Arabidopsis thaliana: one gene and its partner. The protein of the gene in region 1 interacts with the protein of each later gene in a pairwise test. Each region holds a gene or a part of one and is shown on either strand. Other genes may lie near its edges.

The links.
Region 2: the proteins of AT4G39820 (region 1) and TRFL5 interact in a two-hybrid assay, tested with the Arabidopsis thaliana proteins (one large-scale study listed by BioGRID).

What each region holds. Positions count from the first base shown.
Region 1 is NC_003075.7:18,475,177-18,479,726, reverse strand, and holds AT4G39820 (Tetratricopeptide repeat (TPR)-like superfamily protein), read left to right. Parts: upstream 1-1,666; 5' UTR 1,667-1,745; coding exon 1,746-3,029; 3' UTR 3,030-3,030; intron 3,031-3,278; 3' UTR 3,279-3,769; downstream 3,770-4,550. Other genes in the region: AT4G39830 (Cupredoxin superfamily protein), read right to left, coding at 1-94, 173-265, 331-624; AT4G39810 (Polynucleotidyl transferase, ribonuclease H-like superfamily protein), read left to right, coding at 3,992-4,429, 4,511-4,550.
Region 2 is NC_003070.9:5,404,409-5,408,274, forward strand, and holds TRFL5 (TRF-like 5), read left to right. Parts: upstream 1-1,616; 5' UTR 1,617-1,729; coding exon 1,730-2,902; 3' UTR 2,903-3,078; downstream 3,079-3,866. Other genes in the region: AT1G15710 (prephenate dehydrogenase family protein), read left to right, coding at 97-1,173; AT1G15730 (Cobalamin biosynthesis CobW-like protein), read right to left, coding at 3,127-3,264, 3,373-3,477, 3,623-3,708, 3,795-3,866.

The DNA of each region.
Region 1 (4,550 bases):
CGGGCTCTGTGGCCGGAGGAGAAACTTGAATCATTCCGATTAATCCAGACTCTCTCTGCATCCCATAGTGTGAATGATACATGTATGTACCAGGCTACAAACAAATTTCAAAACTTAACATAAAAACATAAAGAAAGATTGAAACTTTAATGTGAGTTTTATAACTCTTTACCCTATCAACGACAAATTGGTAAATGAAGACTTCTCCAGGAAGAATTGGACATTGAGTAACACCTTCTACTCCATCGAACCATGGAGTCCCAATCTGAAACATATATAAATCAATCTTTTTCAGTCATTCACCGAGTGCTTACGAGGATGTTTACGTACCTGTCGGATTCCATGCCAATGGACAGCGACATTTTCAGTCATGAAGCTATTCTTGAGCTCGACAACGATGGTGTCACCTTGTTGAGCTTTAATGGTGGGACCTGGAAACTTACCATTGATTGTGATTACTAGCTTCTCGAAACAATCCGGTGACTTGAACTCGTACTTCACTTCCCATTTGAATCTCCGGATCTTTCCCTGACAGAGGACGGAAGAAAAAAACAGGGCAATGAAACAGAGGACCATAAGATTGAAGACATGGACTGTGTCTGATGATCTCTTCGGTCTCATCATTTTTCCAATCGTGTCTCCAAGAATCAAAGAAGATAAGAAGCTGAGATTTCAATATATAGTTCGAGATTAATCAATTCATATATACATAACGATAGATCATTGCATGTCATGTGTTTACAGATAACTCATTTGTCTTTTGGAGAAAAACTGGAGAGAAAACGCGTTTCACTTTTCTACGATTTAGTGATAATTTCTAATAATAATACATCGACTTTTATTAGCAAAGTAAAATTGTAGTATATGATTCTGTGTACCTCATGTGTTTTGTAAGTCATAAAAGTCAAGTATGTTCGATGCTTCTACACTGCTTTTCCTTTTTCCGTAGTAAAACCACATTATATTTTGATGTTTGATTGTAAGATTTTTAAAGCCTAAACTATTGTTAAAACAAAATACTTAATCAAATCATTAAATGAATAATAGGTTTTACGGTTTGAACTAGCTAGTTAGTCACTCATTTCATTTTTTAAAAATCTCGAATTTAAATACCTACAATAGAAAATTGAATAATTTACATGTTCATACCCCTTATCCGAAAAAAATATGGGGTTAGGTCTGAAATTCTTTAGTTAATTAAAAAGACTTACTTATTGCAGTACATTCCACATAGACTTTTAATTTGGTCAAGTCTTAGCTCAGGGTCAATGGTAAGAATCGAGAAAAAATCTCTTGGACCAAGTCAGAGCTTAATTTTTTTTGGTCGTTATATTAAATATCTACGTAAAAATCAATGATGTAACATGTAACATGGGGAAAATAATATTATCAGTATGTAACAATATTATAACATGGTATTTATTACCATTACTCCACCATTTAAGTAACTCCTTTCGTTACACGAAGAAAAGTCATAAGACAAAAAATCAACATTGATCAATCGATCCGAGACAAGTTAATTGTAATTTTGGATTTAATTATTGTTTCATTTCTAGTGAATTAAAAAATAAAATATATGAAATCCAAAGTTTGGATTCTCCTCCAATTTTAGTATTTGATCTAATTATTTTTGATCTAATTATAAAAAAATCTTAATAAACCGCCTAAAATCATAATCATATCAAATGTTTTTTTTTAATAAAAAATAATCTAAATTTTTATGCCAAAAAGAAGAATTTAGCGTAATGGTATCTATTGGAAAGACGACCCAAATCCAAAGACCAAACCAGGTTACTTCCACAATGTTCACGGAGTCATCTCCAGCAATGGATCCGGATTTACCCGAATCCGAAACCCGACCCGAATTCAATCCCTCCTCCACTGATTCCACCGCCATGGCAGAGTCAACCGATGCAGGGGAACCGACGGCATTCGAATTAGCCTCATCCCAAGTCACATCCGTCGCCGATCTACCACCGGAACGATTCAATTCGCTCGACGAATTAACACACGATCTCGGCTCGCTCCACGAGCTTTCGACCCGTGGCTCATGGCAAGCGATCCTCGAGAAGATATCTCAAGCCAGAGCTCTCTTCCTCCTCACAAAGCCTCACGAGCATCTCACTTATCTCACTTACCAAGTTATGGCTCTCGCGAAGCTTCGTCGCTCCGATGAAGCTTCTCATGAGCTTAATTCCTTGCACGATTTCGACGGGACGCATTACAGGTACGAATCGTTCCCTGAGATTTACCCTAATCGGAGAGGATCTATGGTTCCTTTCTCTTTACGATGGCTCTACGCTTTGATCCCGACTAAGCTTGGTAATCGTCAGGAAGGGTTAGATCGTTTATATGTTTTGCTTGACTTTGTTCGAGATCGAATCAGAGAGAAAGAATCTCAGAGTTTAGAGAGTTCTGTGGAATTGTGGAAGAAAAGAGAGACATTTGTGATGAATTGCTTGCTAGGGTTTCATTTAGGTCACAAGGAATTTGGGGTGTCTTTGGATTTGATGAAGGAATTGATCAATCGTGATCCGTTAGACCCGGTTTTGATTTCGAAACTAGGGTCTGTTCAGATGCAGTTTGGTGATGTAGAAGGAGCTAAAACTACGTTTGATAGAGTTGAGAAGATGTTGAATGAAGGAAAGAGCAATGGTTTATTGAACGAGATACAGTTCAACAATCTTGTTGGTAGGAATAAGGCTTTGGTTTATGTTGTGGCAAAGGACTATGTTTCTGCTGTGAGAGAGTATGACAAATGCATTGAAAGGGATAACTCTGATATTATCGCTGTCAACAATAAGGCTCTTTGTTTGATGTACTTGAGAGATCTATCGGATGCGATTAAGGTGATGGAAAGTGCATTGGAGAGAGTGCCAACCGCGGCTTTGAACGAGAGCTTGGTGGTGAATTTGTGTAGTATGTATGAGTTGGCTTATGTTAATCATACTGATGTTAAGCGGACGTTAAACAATTGGATTGCACGTGTTGCTCCTGATGACTTTGATTCATCTTGTACCAGAGTTTGAGGTATTGTCTCTGTTCTTGTTTCATTCTTGAATTTTTCCCTTTTTTAGGTTTTGGCATGTCTAAGAACTGATTGGTGATGTTATGATGACTTCGATAAATTGTGAAGTCTTAAGAATATGAAACAATCTGGTTAGGTAGATAAGAGAGATGATATTCTCTAGCGCCCTAAACTTCTTGTTCTCTGTTTTGGTTTCATATAATTTCCATTGGAGGTATGCAAATTGATCATCTAGCATTCAAAATTGCAGGTTTTCATTCCAAACAAAGGTAATTAGTCAAAGAGTTTATGTCTTCAATGATGAAACAAATCTTGGTGGGTTTGGCCTCAGCTGGAGACTCTGTTGTTGCAATTACCGGCTTCAAATTCGTTGTAGTTTTCTGTTGTGTAAGCTAGCAAATGGTTTGTTGCCCCCAAACACTTGGTAACTTCCTGCATTCGTTTTCTCATATTCATCTTCTTATAACGTTTTTTTGCATTTGCCGTTAACCACTAATGAAGAATGTGTGTTCTTGCAACTCTTCCTATGCACAGAGATTTTGGGTAAATCAAATATTTAAAGCCATGTATTTTGAGTTGAATATTCCCGTTGAGAGGATCATATAAGGATCAATAATTTGGGATATTACCAGTTTTTGAGAGAAATTTTCCCTTTCAGCTTTCAGATTCCTTGTATATCTTTATGACAATATCAAAGGAATCAATTCTCGTAGAACATGAATCTACCAACGAATTCTTTCATATAACAACCCTTTTTTATTGGTTTGGAAAAAGCAAAGTAAAGATTCTTACTTTACCCTACAGAGCAAAATTTTCTCCGCGAAGCTAAATAATCCCCACAGTAACCCTCCAACACAAATCTACGCTTAACTTTTATCACAAGAAAACGCAAACCCCAAATCCACAATATATACACATACCTACTCACAGGATTAACAAACCGAACATAAACCAAAATCTGATATGGCGGTCCAAACATTTCCCAACGAAATCGTCTTCTTCGATCTAGAAACAAACGTACCAAACAAAGCAGGGCAACATTTTCACATACTAGAGTTTGGGGCGATCATCGTATGTCCAAAAAAACTCGAGGAGCTAGAGAGCTTCACAACGCTTATACAACCTAAAGACTTGTCGGTGGTCTCAATAAGGTCGTCTAGGTCAGATGGGATCACCAGGGCTAAGGTTACGAACGCACCAAGTTTTGAAGACGTGGCTGAGAAAATCCATGGTTTGTTGAACGGTAGGATTTGGGCAGGTCATAACATTAGAAGATTTGATTGCGTTAGGATCAAAGAAGCTTTCGCTGAGATCGGTAAAGCTGCGCCTGAACCCTCAGGGATCATTGATTCTTTGGGGTTATTAAGTGACAAGTTTGGCAAAAGAGCTGGTAACATGAAGGTACCATTATCCAAGATTCTTTGTAAGCATTAGAAATCTTAGGAATTTATATATTGAAGGTCATTGTGCACTATTTTGTAGATGGCAAGTTTGGCTGCCTATTTTGGTCTTGGAGTTCAAA
Region 2 (3,866 bases), on another chromosome or scaffold:
TTCCTCCTTTGGCGCAACCGCTTCTTCCTCTTCTATTCTCACAGATTTCTCTAAGCTCCCAACTTTGGAGCTAAAACTCAATCAACACTACTCACAATGCTACTCCATTTCTCTCCGGCGAAACCCCTCATTTCTCCACCCAATCTCCGCCGCAATTCACCCACATTCCTCATTTCCCCGCCGCGATCTCTTCGAATTCGAGCAATCGACGCCGCCCAAATCTTCGATTACGAAACCCAACTCAAATCCGAGTACCGCAAATCCTCTGCTCTCAAAATCGCCGTCTTGGGTTTCGGCAATTTCGGCCAATTCCTCTCCAAAACCCTAATTCGACACGGCCACGATCTAATCACTCACTCCCGCTCCGATTACTCCGACGCCGCAAACTCAATCGGAGCTCGTTTCTTCGATAACCCTCACGATCTCTGTGAACAACATCCCGACGTTGTCCTCCTCTGTACCTCAATCCTCTCCACAGAATCAGTCCTCAGATCATTCCCTTTCCAACGTCTCCGTCGTAGCACACTCTTCGTCGATGTTCTCTCCGTTAAGGAATTCCCAAAAGCCCTCTTCATTAAATACCTTCCTAAGGAGTTTGACATTCTCTGTACTCATCCAATGTTTGGACCTGAGAGTGGTAAGCATTCTTGGTCTGGCTTGCCCTTTGTCTACGATAAGGTGAGAATCGGAGACGCAGCTTCAAGACAAGAGAGGTGTGAGAAGTTTCTAAGAATTTTTGAGAATGAAGGTTGCAAGATGGTTGAAATGAGCTGTGAGAAGCATGATTATTACGCAGCTGGATCGCAATTCGTGACGCATACTATGGGAAGGGTTTTGGAGAAATATGGAGTTGAGTCTTCGCCGATTAACACCAAAGGTTATGAGACGTTGTTGGATTTGGTGGAGAACACATCGAGTGATAGCTTTGAGCTTTTCTACGGTTTGTTTATGTATAATCCGAATGCTCTTGAACAGTTGGAGAGATTGGATATGGCTTTTGAGTCTGTTAAGAAGGAGCTGTTTGGGAGATTACATCAGCAATACAGGAAGCAAATGTTTGGTGGGGAGGTTCAATCGCCCAAGAAAACTGAGCAGAAATTGCTCAATGATGGTGGTGTTGTTCCTATGAATGATATATCATCATCATCATCATCATCATCATCATCATCTTAAGATCACAAGTTTGATTGGATTATGCTAGATTCAAAAATAAAAAGTTGTGACTTTTTTGGAAAACGTCAAGAGTGGAAAATAAAAAAGGGATTTTGGTGTGTTCATATGTATGTTGGGGTCTCTTTTGGCTTGGTATCAATAAACTTGTCTTTTTTTCTCTAAATGTATCTGTGGAAATGCTTATCCCTCTGGTCGCCGGAAACAAATACGGACAAATTGTCTCCTTCTCCGGCCATATTTGTATTGGATCAACATTGTATTGCTCAAAAGTCATTACTGTTTTTCTCTGTCTCCAATGATCTCGGGTCACCCACCCGATTCGGATCAGGACAACATCGTTTCGTTATGGGCCGATTATATAATGGGCCGCTTGAATGTCTCGTCTTATTTAATTAAAAGAAAAAAACACATTTTAAATTTGAATGATTCACACGTGTGTTGTTGCCACCATAGTTGGTCGGAGCTTTTCCTCTTCCCAAAATTGTAACCCTAACCACGCACCGACGGCGAAAACTGATCGCGGGTTTTCGCATCTTTTACTTGCAAAGTCTTGGAAATGGAAGTGATGGACAAATGGGTAGCTGAATTTTTCCTCCGACGCCAACTAAATCCTAGGGTTTACGCTTTTCCACTGTTATCGGCTCTGAAACCAGTAGATTCCGACGACTGTGTAAAACTCAAGCTAACTGCTGTTTTGCGGGATATCTCCAATTCCATGATTCAAGGTACCGTAGACGAAGGAATGCTTGATCTCCTCGAAATTCTTGAGAAGCTTCTGTTACAGGAACATTCGGTTATCATGGGATCTCTCAAATCTGCGTATTGCTGGACTGCTGTGGAATGCACGCTTAGGTTTATGTGGCCAGTGAATGCTTCGGATGGCTTCTTCGGTGATGCCCTTGAGAGGATTTGGAGGAATCGGATTGGGACATTGAAGGAGAAAGAGAGCGACTTGGTGACTCGTGAGTTGTTGAAATGGGAGAGTGATCTAAACAAGGCGTTTGAGGAACCTGAGATTTACCAGAAGATTCGTGAGACTAACATCAGGTACAATGCCATCTCTCATCTTAATCAGCTTCTCAAAGAGCAGTGGGCACTACTTGGATGTTCTTCTCTTGAATCAGAAGCTCGAAAGAGGTTTCTTAAGCGTAAGGATTCACCATATGCTTCCCGGAGAGGAGGTAATAGAGAGAAAGCTAATGATGTTGAAGAAGTGGGTGGTGTGGAGAATCCTGATGGGGTTGGTAAGGTGAATGAACATGAACAGGAACACGAGCCAAGTCTTAATAAGGGGGAAATGTTGGTAGCTCGAGAGCTTAAGGATTTTTTGTTGGAGATTCAAAGACTCATCGACCCTATAACAAGGCAAGATCAAGAACCTAACAATGCAATGGAGCATTCAGTTGATGTCACTCCTCAGCCTGATGGGGCAAATAGGACTGATGCAGAAGATAGTGAGGGAACATCATCGTCTAGAAGAGTCAGGCCTCATCTACCAACCCCGGAACCTCTGAATGTATCACCGTTGAAGAAAGGAAGATTAGAAAGACCGCGTCCCAGAAGGCCAATGAAATTCTGGACTTCTGAAGAAGTGGCAGCTTTGAGGGAAGGAGTTAAAGAATATGGAAAATCATGGAAAGATATCAAGAATTCATACCCTGTTGTTTTCGCTGATAGGAGCGAGGTGGATTTGAAGGATAAGTGGAGGAATTTACTTGGTCGTCAGTAGTAGGAATCTTACCTTCTAACTTATGGGCATTTTGGTTTTGGGATCTTGTGTAGTTTTGCCGCTTGTGTTAGAAAGGGACTCACTTTTTGTACGGTGAAGGCTTTAATATGTTCTTGATTCAGGCTCTTGTAGTTAGTGTCAAGCTTTAGACGATATTTCTTGTTCAAAAATCTATTGACCAGTTGATTACAAAATGGAATGATTTTAAATATTTGGTCCTATAATCAAATCAAGCAAGCTCTGAAACCCATCTCTAACTCCTCCCGGTTCAAATTCTTGCCGATGAAAACAATCTTGTTGGTTCTTGTTTCATCTTTTCTCCATAACCGGTCAGGTGATCCTTCAAATATTTCATGAACTCCCTGTTCCAACCATTATAAACCACAAACGTCAGAGATAATTTACATCCCAAGGCTTCGATGCTTTAGAATTCATCCGAAATGATCAAAATAATGACAAAGGTTGGTCACCTGAAACACGAATCTCTCGTCCATGTCTTGTACGGAGAGGATACCTTTCATTCTGTAGATATCCTCACTACGTTGGTACAATAGCGCCCCAAGCCACATGTTAGCCTGATCCATTTTCAAAACTAAGGTTATAGATGATGCAAGTAATCAATCGCACATCTCAACAATCGTTTTAATTATAAGTAACACGTCAGGTGCTACAGTTTTATGCATCACATGTGACACAACTTGAGCCATATTGGGTTAATACCTTCTCGAGGTCTAAGTCTCCTTCGCAAACTATACTGACTGAACCAACACCAGGGTCATGGGTGTGATCATGAGAATGGTGATGCTCTGCAGTTTCAGAAGCAAACTAATCAATGCATGTAGGCGATCGTTATTAAGTAATAAGGCCATTATTTGGTAACACTATAACATACCGTGTTCATGCTCATGCTCATGCTCATTGTGGTGATCATGGCAGTCATGACCATGGTGATGATCATCATGAC